Linked DNA regions of Caenorhabditis elegans. The protein of the gene in region 2 purifies or fractionates together with the protein of the main gene of each other region. This does not show direct contact. Each region holds a gene or a part of one and is shown on either strand. Other genes may lie near its edges.

Region 1 (8,215 bases), on a different chromosome or scaffold from region 2:
TCCATTCAACAATCGCTTGCATTTTGCACGTCGATTTTTGAACCAGATCTGCAATTCGAATTCGATAACTAGTAATCAGTATTAATATAGAATATTACCTTCACATTGTGCTGACTAATATGCGGATAATTCTCTCGATAAGCGCAGTTGTTCAAGCATTGTGTGTACTGATCGATTTGCATCCATGTCGGGTGAGGATTCTCTTCGAACCATTTTTCGAGGACGGGTAGCTCGGTGAGTGGGTCGAACATCAGGCGTGAGCGAGCCGCTGAAAACACTAAAACGGAGATTATTTGCTTTATCGTTGAATTTTTTCAAACGTTCCGCGTCAGTGATTTTATCGAAAAATAGAAGTAAAATTCCACCTTAAAGTTTTCTTGTCGAAAAGATAGAGAATTTTTATGCAGTCATTTTTCATATGCATAGCAAACGCAATCTAAGAGCGTTTTAGAGATAGCAACCAATATAGGTTTTCAGACTGAGTATCATGAACATGGCCACCTTCTCGATAAGTTTGAGCCAGTACAAAATCCCTAGAATATTTCTCAAAATCAAGTTTGCAGTTGATTTTCTGTTTTATTTCTGTAAACACAATACCTAGCCTCATTTTTTTTTCCTCAGATCTCAGTGATCGTAATGGTTGTCTGTGCGAAATTCGACGCCCCACATTTCTCCCTTTGTTATGTGTCTTCGCGCACTTTGTGTATGTCTATGTGTGTTTGTGTGTGTGTGCTCGCTTCTAATTTATGAGTTCTTGGTTCAACCCATCTCCCTCTCTTTTCCGTTAGCCTGTCTGTTTTAAAGCTCTTTGTTGTACCTGATGAGTTGGCGTTTTGCATGGAGTTGGTGGATGATGAGTGGGTGCTGAATGCTCCGAGGTCGAGCCCGCTGAGAAGCTTTGGGGAGGTCGAGGACAATGATTCGCGCATTGAGTTTGCCATATCCGGGGAGGATGCAATTGAATCCTGTAGGAAATGTTGCTTGTTTTGGGATGAATAATTTTTAAAGGTGGACCATAATTGTGTCGAAAAATATTTTTAATTGGCGCTCAGCCGACGCTGACAGTTTGGAATAAATTCAGATTTTCGGCCGTAGTGTTAGGTCTTTATAACCTTATCGGTAATATTTAGCAATTTGGGAGATGTTATCTTTAATGTGAATCAGAATCGAAATAGCCGAAAATCCGTTTTTAGCGTGATTTTTCAAAGCTTTTCAGCACGAGCAACGCTAATCAACCTAACTATGGCACAAACAGTCAAACGTAACTTACAATTTCCGGTTCTGGTTTAATATTGATGGAAAACAAAGTATCTTGAATAGTTTCATCTGAATTGCTATGAATCTCATCATCGGCTGGAGATGGCGAGTCGGAGCCGCCGACAATCTTGGTTTCATCCAGTTTGTCGTAAAAATCAAATTTTTGACGTTGTTCTCCAAACAGGGACTGGAGCAAGTTGAGTTGGAATCCCGGGAGCAGCTGCGCCGCTGTCTGAGCTGACGAGACCTGCACTAGGTCTACTGGAGCTAAGGTACGGGAACTCGAGCGTTTTTGTGTGAACCAATTGCAAATCTGGAAATTCATTTGATTAATGGAGTAATATGTAGGCGCATTAAATTCACCTGTTGATAGCTGATCTTGGAATTGTTCTTTCTGAACGGACTCTGATTGAGCTGGCTTAAGTAATTGTTCATTTTTTGTTTAGATGGATTTGCATCGGATTTGAACCATTTATCAAGACGTGGAATTTCGTAAAGAGTGTTGAATCTTTGTACTTGTGTTGGGCTGAAATTAAATACATACATTATTATGTGTACTGAAAGTAATATGAAAGCAGGCGTTTATCTTTCTTGAGAGTGGAATGAAAAGAAAATCATGTAGCGTATTTCTTCTATTTGTATTGCACCCGACTACCTAACTTTGAAACGTTATATCTTAATTCATTTTAAAGAGTATAAATACACTTTAAAGATATACATATATTTTTAACTACGAATCTATAGAAAAATAACTGAAAAAATATTTTGTTAGTTAACAACTTCGAATAGCACAAACGATAACTGAGATATAAACAGTTAAAGTTGAACAATGTGGTACAATACAAATAGAGGAAATACGGTGTAATTACTCGTATACAAGTTTTTTGTAAGGATAGTTTTTAATCATTTTTTACTGACACTTTTTCTCCAATCACGACTCCATTCTGATAGTTATACTGGGTCCCCTTCTTCTTGTTTTTGCGCCCCCCCCCCCCCCCCGGGTAACAGTTTGGATATATCACTGTATGCACACAACGCATTCAATCTCCCTTTTTCTATTCTTTATTACTCTTTACAGAATGCGTCACCGCCGTCCTTTCCCATTTTGCCCTTTATTCTGCTGTTCCCATTCCCTCAGAGCAATATGTACATGTTTTGTATCCTCTCTTGTGTCTGTATGTCACAATAAGATTACTCACAACACAACTCAATTATTTGTACAGTTGGAAATTCGAAAATTTGGATGTGCTTCGATGACTGGAAAACTTGATTTCAGCTTTTTCTTTTTCCTTTTTTCTTCTCGTTGGAAGAAGGAGTTTCAATAAAGGAATATGTGGAAAACAACTGTCTCCATCACTTATAATTTGACTTCTTCCCTTTGTTGTCTCGGGAATGTAGATCAGCAGGCAGTGGCAGTTTCAGAGATGTTTTCACGGGTCAACAAGGGGCCAAAACCAGTCCTGATCTCTTAGCCTCCTTCTCTTGAGAAATTGAGAAAGACACAATGGCATGATGGAGGGCACTTAGAGAACGACCGAATTTGATCGTTTTGTCTTTTGTCTCGTTTTTTTTTTGAAATTAGCTATCTTCATCTCAGTCTAATACTGCTCTCTTATCCGGGCATCAACCGTACTGTCAACCGGCTTAGTGGAATTTATAGTTGAGTTACGAAATAAAACTTGAGTTTTGGTAATTGTTAAATTCTGACAAGCCACATATTTGGTGAATCGTCTCCTAAAAATTTTAGATTTTCAAAAATTTTTGAACTCAACCATTTTAAGTTGGCAAATAATAGAAGGCGTACGGTGTTTTATTATTTTAGCACTAAGAACAAGGAAAATTTTTGGTACTTGTGGATTATTTCACCTCATTTTGAAAAAATAAATTTTAACATTTTAAAATAAAACCGTGTGTAGTTTTTTATTTTTAGGCTTAGAAAAAAAAAAAAAAAAAAAAAAAAAAAAAAAAACGTTTTCTGCTACGCAAATGGGTAATAAAGTAAAAAAAATCAATTTTATATAACGATTTTACAGTTTCAAACAATTTTTTATAGATTAAACTTGTCTTCAAAGCAATTCTTAGATACTTCGGTATAAACTAGTGTTTCTAACTTCATTCACGTATATCTTCATCACTTTGCCTTCCCCTTCCCATTGAACCCATCCCCTACTCTTTTCCAATCCCAAACAATCATCGTTTTCGCACATTGTGTGTGGGGGCTGTCACTAATAAGATGAATGGTGATGATGGGCACCAAAGAAAGAGCAAATGATACAATCTGCCGGCTTGTTAATCCCCGACGCCTATCCATTCTGATTGTTACGACACTTGAAAACAAAAGGCGGGTTTTTGATGAAGACAACCTCAGGAAATTGAAATTCTGACGGGGGGGGGGGGGGAGCTCCAATGAATCCTTGCGGTGGAAATTAAACGAAACTAACTATTTAAGTTAAGTCCTCTCTTTTCAGATGTGAATAAGAATGCACAGACGTGGAAAAGTATATTGTTTATATGATATCCGATAGGAATCGGTTTTACCTGATATCTAGAGACAGCAAAATTCCATCTCCTAAATTTCCCCAAAAATTTATAAACAAAATGGGTGCTCTCTCATAACTTTTCCTTCAACCACAATGTATACACAATCCTGCCTGCAGCTCAAAATTCCTAACCAATCCATAAAGTCTATTTCTACAAACAAGCCGAGAGGGGGCTTAACTCGAGCACCGAATAGCGGCTTAACTTGGCGCTACCCCCCGTGTCACTGCTCTCTGTCTTTTCTCTCAAACTCTGCCCCCCCCCCCCCTCTATTCACATCCAACACGCACAGCGGGATTACGGTGGCTGGTTGGCTGACTGGCTCGCAACTCATTGCATGGGCGGCGCTATCTTACCTTCTACGATCCTCGTTCGTTTCCAGCGTATCAAGCCATTCGTTGACTGCACCAATTTGTTCGGAATTCAAGAGTGTTTCATCTCCGGCAATGATTGTGTTGATGACATCCTGCAATTATCAGAATTGAAATTGAATTATTGAGAAAATAGCAGCTACCCACCTTAACCTGCTGATTATCCACATTTGTTAAAACATTGGGATTTTTGTTTACTGCAGCTTTCAGGAGTTTATTCTTCACCTCACTTATACATTGCACAGAATTTGAATCCGTAGATCTGAAAGAAAATCATGATGATGGTCATAAAATTGTGTGTGTGTATAGGCATATGTGTGCCCAGGGATAGGGCTATAAAAATCGAATTCGGTCCGTGAATGGTTTGTGCTTTCATTGGTCTCATAAAAATTGCGTCGCAGGACAAAGCGCTAAAGCTTTTGCGGTATTTGTGAGTGCCATGTTTGATAGCAAACTAAATGCCAAATATCAATAGAATATGAACGATATAAAGAAATGAAGGAAGCGACAATAATCCGCAAACAGATAGGATAAGTCATACGGGGATCTAGGTAAATAATTTTGTTGGTCCCCGGACCCTCCCGCTCCTTTGACTTTTGATGACTAGAAATGCGCCCCAAAATGTATCTTTTTTCAGCCACCGCCAATTTCAATGAGTTTTCCCCCTTTTTTCCTTCCATCACTTTTTCTCTCCTGTACACATGTCTGAATGTGTTTATATATATGTGTGTGTGTGCGAGGCGCGCATTGTACATACCTATGTTTGCCATTTTCTTTGAGTAGTTCTAAAGAGGATGTATAGGGGTTGTGAGGCGCGATTTTGCTCACCTTTACAGAATGAGCCCCCCGGAGCACACAAACCTCCCGATCGACAGTCGTCTGGTTGGAGCGGGATTGGATGGGATAGATGAGGTTATAGTGCGGAGTGAAACAAGAATACTTCAGGAAACACTTACGGTTTTGACAATATTTTTAGCACTACATGTGATGATATATCTTTGAAGAGGTTTTCCACAGTGTCATCTAAATTTTCAGTAATTTGATCGAATGGCAAGGGTTTCCAGTTGTTTACTTGTATGAGGCCTGAAATTTCTGAATTATCGATTTTCGGACAACAAATGCAAAATATTTTTTTAAAAAACCCTATGCAATTCCCTTCGTTTTCTTTCCGATTTCCCTTTCACATGATTGCATAATCTTTGGGAAAGTAGATACCAAGGAGGCAAAGCCGCCGAGAAAAGAACAGGTTCGACAGTCTGTTTCACTTTCTACTAAGGTGGAAGAAAACGTGAAAGTGAGAAAATGGGAGGAGGGCGCTGAAATCGCAGAAATACCGTTGATCTGGCAAGAGGCGCAGAACAAAACACATGAGTGGGTAGGGTCGTCTTAGCCAAAAAAAAGTGGGTGATCTCGGGGTAGGAGGAAGATGTATATCTTCTTACAGCATAGCGAAGTTGCGCAACCACGTTATGCTTCAATGAGATTGAATTGAAACTGAAAGTAGTTGTCAAGAAAAGGAGATCCCACTCAATACTCAATTACTTACTCGCCTAGAGTAGGGTAAATCTGTCAATCACAAGATAGATCTGTTATCCGTTTTTGGCGAATGAAAAAAAGGAACAAAAATGAAAGAAAAGAAGATAAGGAATGTGTACTACTAATACCAAAATAGTTTAGCTAGTCACGAGGTCTATGGCAATTTTCAAAATGTTTTCTCAACTAACCTCGAGCACTTGTCGACATGCTCGAATGTCCAAGAGCTGCTAGTACAGTTTCGACGAGTTGATTTAATGTAGTGGTCCCTGCGACAATTGCATAAGTGTCTGTGATCATGTGTCCTTCGTTTGAGCATGTCAAGCAATGTTGAGAGCGAACTGTTTCCACGATTACCCTCATTGGGAACATATCTAGCTGAATGAAACTTTATATTTGAAATTTTTAAAATAAAAATGAGAAATCGAGATAAACTAATAGCAGAAGAATCGAAAGAAGAGCCAGAAGATAGTTGGATAGATTTAGCTCTGCGCTCCGATTGGTGTGCGGACTTCCCGCCCACTTTTCATAGATATGGAGGAGGCGGGGCTTTCTATGATGCGGGGAAGATAGATAGAAAAAGAGCGAGTAAGAGAGAGAGAGAGAGCAAGAGCAAAAGAGATATGGTAGTTGTGGCTAGTTGGAGCAAATAAGGTGGAAAAGAAAGCGCGCACCTATTCAACCGTAATTGCGATGGAATAGAGCGGAGAGCAACAAAAATGGAAGAAAGGGAGATAGTGGGATTTGTTAAGGCGATTAATGAAAAAAGAACGGGAGACACCAAGTTTGGATAACAGATTTGCAGTCTGTCCAAGAGGGGGTTAGAAATCTTAAGACACAAATAAAAACAACGAATCAGGCGACATGTACTCATTCTTCTTACTTCTTACTCGCTACTGAAGACAAGTTGAAGATGAGAATGGATGGAAACGAAAACGAAAACAAGATTTGATATGGAAAATCTGAAAGAAGGCGACCACGTCGTCGCCAAGAAGAGATTGAAGACGACGAATGGAGCGAAAGTAGTAAGGAGGGGTTGAGGGGGGGGGAGGTCGGGATCGAGATGGCATAATGTAGGAACCGGATGGAAGAGTCTAAAAGAGGCAGAGAATGCGGAAGATGAGGAGAAATAGGTAGGTGAGGTAGAAAACAGTGGAAAAAAGAAAGATGGGGCTGGTTGCCAACCCTCCCCCATCTGTAGAAACGATCATGTACTACTAGTTCGAGAAAAGCCTCGGGTCGTTGTGGTATGGCATCGTCTTAGTCTTCGTCGTTGAGGGAGGAAAAAAGAAGAATCGAACAAAGACAATCCACTTGTTCAAGATTTTCTCTCTCTCTTCACTCTTCTACCCTATAACCCCGCCTTTCTCTTTTCCTCACCGTCAAATCGAAAATAACGACGCTACACATCGCATAAGGGGCGCATCAGAATTAGAATTGTCCCGATGTGTCAGCAGAGATAAAGGTTAAGTTACTTATAGAAATTTTAAGGATGCGCGTTTCGGGAGAGGAGGGGGTCTGCCAGTTATAGATAAGACAGTGGTTGGAATGCAAGTCACTATTTACTTAGGAGCTCCGAGTGGGTTTGGGATTATTGTCGATAAGATAATGTGTACACTTTTGATACTTCGCCACACCAAAACTCAAATCCGTTTCTAGAAATTTATCTAACAAGGTTTATTGTTAAAATTACTATGAGTCAAAAATCAACAATTGGTATAAAACGTGGTTTTGGAAATATCTAATTTTTCAGAATTTTTGCAAAACTCTGTGAGACTCATTGATTAATCATTGTATTCTACACTTGTATTATCTTGCTCCATCTCCACATAATCAGTTCTAACAAACGAATGTTTGTGCCCCTAAGCCTAGAGGATTTAGTTTAGGTGTCATCGTAGCGGCTAATTGAAACAATTGCAATCTGGAGCAATACTGAAGCAAGGAGAGGGGGTTCGAATAAGCCGGAAAGAGTAATCCCGGTTGCTTGAAGACACCAACCCCGCGGATGGGATTATACAAGAAGCATGAAGTAGAAGTATAGGGTAAATGAGACCCTTCTTACAAATTTGAAAGTCGAGAAGTTCTAGACTTCAAGGGGCAATGCAAAAAATCTCAGTTTTACATATATTACGTATCGTACGGTAACGCAAAAGAGAAGATTAAAGAGGAGGGGGGGGGGGGGGAAGTCAATTGAAATTCAGCGGCCTTATCATACGATATACATTATATGTTTACCAACTCAATGGACCGGACCGAATGGAGAAAGAGATGGTAGGGAATGGAATAATGTGATGGGTTATGGTGGGTGCTTGCCCCTTGTTATATGATATTCAGTATTTTTGAAAGAGGAATTATAAATATTCTGATTTCAGTATGATTCTTCAAATTTGTTTTATTATATGATTCTTACATACAAAAACTGTAGGACATTCAAAAATTGAGTAAGAAAATCCTAAAGGTGGAGTGGTTGTCCCAAAATGACGGAATATCATAATAAAACTTTCAAAAATTTTTTT
Region 2 (3,789 bases):
CGCGAAATTTTGTTATTTTTGTGACCCCAAAAGTACGGTACCTGGTCTCGACACGACAAAATTTTGTTAACTGCAAAAAGGTGTGCGCCTTTAAAGAGTACTGTAATTTTAAGTTATCTTTGCTTCGGAATTTTTGATATTTTTTAATAAAAATTTTTTAACTGGCGCAAATCGACAAAAACCATGAATTTTAACAGAAAAAAAAACGAAAAACTGCAATTACAGTACTCTTTAAAGGGACACGCATGTAATAAAAATTTGGCATGTCGAGAACGGGCACCTTATTTTTGGCGAAAAGTTTATCGAAAGAGGCTATTGCATAAAAACTTTGCGCGTCAACTATTTTGCCCTGTCCGCAATTCTGAATGAGACGGTGTTTGCACATCTCTGAACAAAGACCACAATCTGACTCTTTTTGCCAACTGATTTTCGCCCTTTGCAGGTTCCGAGTGTGCTATCGGTCGTCAAATCGTCATCATATACAGTTGTCTGAAGTATCTCAAATCATTTACACACATTTTCCACATCTTCCTGTGATATTCTACTCAAGAATCGCTTTTTTCAACGGGTTTAGTCCCTTTCTAAACTTCCCTTTGATATTTGCCTCAAAAATCGCCCATCTTTCATGTAAAATTTATGTGTTATTTTTATTTCAATATTTTAGTTTCAGTTCTATTCGTATTTATTCATTTTTCTTATAATTTTATGCATAAATTCTCAAAATTTATTGATTTTTCTTGTCTTGTGCTGACTCGGTTCTTTTCCAATTATTATATGTACATCTTAAGAATAATCACGAAATCCTGTGAAAATAATTAAATCATTTTCAGTACCGAAAACCTTAAAATGGCCTCACAAACCCAGGGAATTCAGCAACTTTTGGCCGCTGAGAAACGTGCCGCTGAGAAGATCAACGAAGCTCGTAAGAGAAAGTTGCAGAGAACGAAGCAGGCCAAGCAAGAGGCTCAAGCTGAGGTGGAGAAGTACAAGCAGGTAATAAATATTGATTTTAATTTAAATTTTAAAAAACTAATTATTCAGCAACGCGAGGCAGAGTTCAAGGCATTTGAACAACAATACTTGGGAACCAAAGAAGATATTGAGAGCAAGATTCGTCGTGATACTGAGGATCAAATCAGTGGAATGAAGCAATCTGTGGCTGGAAACAAGCAAGCTGTGAGTTTGAACAAATTTCCACACAACTTTGGGAAATCTTTTGCACTTTGCAAAATATTTACTGGAGAACTTTCAAAAAAAATTTCTCGAATTTAAATAAAATGTTCTAAAATAATTTTATTGAATTTCTATATTTGTCACCAAATTAAAATATAGTTATTGTAAAACGGCACATACACATTTTTGGCTCACACTCTCGAAAGTTGCATAATATCTCAATAAAATCCGTTAATTTCAGGTCATTGTCCGTCTCCTTCAACTCGTTTGCGACATCAAGCCAGAGCTCCATCATAACTTGACTCTCCAGAAGAAACTTCACGGACAGTTCGCTGCCTAAACTTTTCGTTTTCTTTAATCTCTGACAATTCTGATCATTCCAACTTTCGCTAAGTCCCGCCCCTTACTTTTATGATGTGATATCCCTCTCCCATCAATTTCTAACCAATTCTGTAGAATTCTCCATTTTCAATTAAAAAATTATAGTCGTCACTTTTTTTTCTGTGACGACGTATTGTATACTATTTACAAAGAAAAAGCTTATACGTCAAAGTATTTCGTCGAATAAAGGTTTTATAGAGCTGATTATAAACTGGAAATTATTCTTTCTCTACGAATTAATCAATAAACGTATTCAGAAGAGGTTTTTCGCAAGTGTGAAACGCTATGTTCAAAAACTGCAGATTTTACCATACTTGCGCTTTTTTATAATTCCGAGATTAATTTTTGGAAAAAATAGCAAAATTTAAGCAGTTTATGTTTAAAAAAGTTCGTTTTTAAATACGCTCAAATAAAAAAAGTAAGTTTTAATTTTAAGTTTCAAAGGGTTGAGTCTCGCCGCGAGAATTGAGTTCTTGAAAAATAATTGGTGCATGCGCCTTTAAGTTTACTGATTACATTGCAAGTCTGCATTTGCGCGTCGAGTTGTGTGTTTTTACGTACATTCGAAATAGTTATATTTATTTATTGCGCAATTGCATTAATGTTTTTCTATACCGAATTTTCATTGCTTTCTTGCAAAATACATGTATTTTCTTAAGAAATTTGTGAATATTTTAAATTATACATAATTGTTTGACCTTTCAGGAAAAATGATTGAAATCACAGTAAACGATCGACTCGGAAAAAAAGTACGAATCAAGTGCAATCCATCAGATACAATTGGAGATTTGAAGAAGTTGATCGCTGCACAAACTGGAACACGGTGAGATTTGAAAATTACCTTTTTGAATTTGATAATCTTTTTGAAATTGACTGATGATCCCACAATCTTTTTTTCTGAATTCTTAAACTTGAAAATCAATTATATTGAAAAAAAAAGAATTTAGCTTTTTTATAGACTTTAGAAGTTAGAAGTTAAAACGTTTGAAAGGAAAAAAAGAACTTAAAAACTAAAAAAAATCAAAAATGGCACAAAAAGTCGTTATTAAAATGATCTCGAGCTAGGAAATCGCGTTTTAAAATACAATTTTTCTGTGTTTTGCCATCTCATGCGGCTATTCGCATATGTTATTTTCGTATGTTTTATATATTAGAAACAAATTGAAAATTTGAAAAACGGCAATTTGCCGATTTGCCCAAAGTTTTCCAAGATATTTTACATGAGAAAAAACATTAATAACATTTTCATAGATTTTACTTGCATGTCAAAATAGTTCTAGGACATTAAAATAGTGCATTTAATTTTGCAGAATTTATAATAAAAATTTAAAAATTTACAACAATTGCAAAACGAAAAATTTCCGACTTTGCAAAAAAAAACTTGCCTCCCAGCCCTGTGTTTTATTAAATAATTGATTTTTTTGTAATTTGATCATAAATTTCGACCGCCATTCTTGGTGATGAAATATACATTTTTTATTGTTTAATAAAAAAAAATCAATTAAATTTCAGATGGGAAAAGATCGTGTTGAAAAAGTGGTACACCATTTACAAGGATCATATCACATTGATGGATTACGAGATTCACGAGGGATTCAATTTCGAGCTCTACTACCAATGATTCATCAGAATTCATTTCATTTTTTAAACAATTATTTACTTTTCAACTTTTCATGAATTTCAATTTAATTTTTTTTGACTTCGAATAAATTTCAACACTTTCTTGATTTAAATGCACTTTTAAAAACATCTTATATTCATTCTTCCACCCCATTAATTTCTGCCGTCTTGTTTGACCACTCCCTCTTTCTTCGCTCCCACCCGAGTAGGCTCCGCCCATTTGTTCGACCCAAAAGATTTTGTCCGATTTTTTCTCTTTTTCTCTCTAATTCTCTTCGCCTATCAATGTGTTTGCGCGAAACAGTTTAGTGTGGATAGAGAAAAATCAGTGGATAGTTAATTTTTGCAGATGTTTTTTTTTTGAATTTTCAAAAATATTACTTCTAAAAGACATTTCAGACCAAGGGCAATGGCTGCTGCAGCTCTGTGCTGTGCTTCAAGGGTACGTTTTTAAATTGAAAAGTTTGAATCCCGAAAGCTTAAAATGAAATATTTATAGAATACAAAAATAAAACAACTTTTGAAAATTAATAAAAAAATATCTCAAAAGTTAAAAAAAAAGTTTCTCTAAATAGAAATATTCAAACATATGGTATCAATAAGCAGTCGTATTGA

What was found.
Region 1: the proteins of ubl-5 (region 2) and dve-1 purify together in Caenorhabditis elegans (affinity purification with western blotting, with the first as the bait; one study listed by BioGRID). This does not show direct contact.

Annotation. Positions count from the first base shown.
Region 1 is NC_003284.9:427,723-435,937, forward strand, and holds the start of dve-1 (Homeobox protein dve-1), read right to left. Parts: upstream 6,078-8,215; 5' UTR 6,072-6,077; coding exon 5,891-6,071; intron 5,779-5,890; exon of another isoform or gene 5,250-5,778; coding exon 5,123-5,249; exon of another isoform or gene 4,429-5,122; coding exon 4,314-4,428; intron 4,262-4,313; coding exon 4,152-4,261; intron 1,784-4,151; coding exon 1,621-1,783; intron 1,571-1,620; coding exon 1,271-1,570; intron 966-1,270; coding exon 818-965; intron 278-817; coding exon 99-277; intron 49-98; coding exon 1-48.
Region 2 is NC_003279.8:5,607,312-5,611,100, reverse strand, and holds ubl-5 (Ubiquitin-like protein 5), read left to right. Parts: upstream 1-2,259; 5' UTR 2,260-2,264; coding exon 2,265-2,377; intron 2,378-3,066; coding exon 3,067-3,175; 3' UTR 3,176-3,275; downstream 3,276-3,789. Other genes in the region: trpp-8 (Trafficking protein particle complex subunit 8), read left to right, coding at 443-493; vha-10 (putative V-type proton ATPase subunit G), read left to right, coding at 847-993, 1,042-1,176, 1,415-1,513; tns-1 (Tensin homolog), read left to right, coding at 3,584-3,616.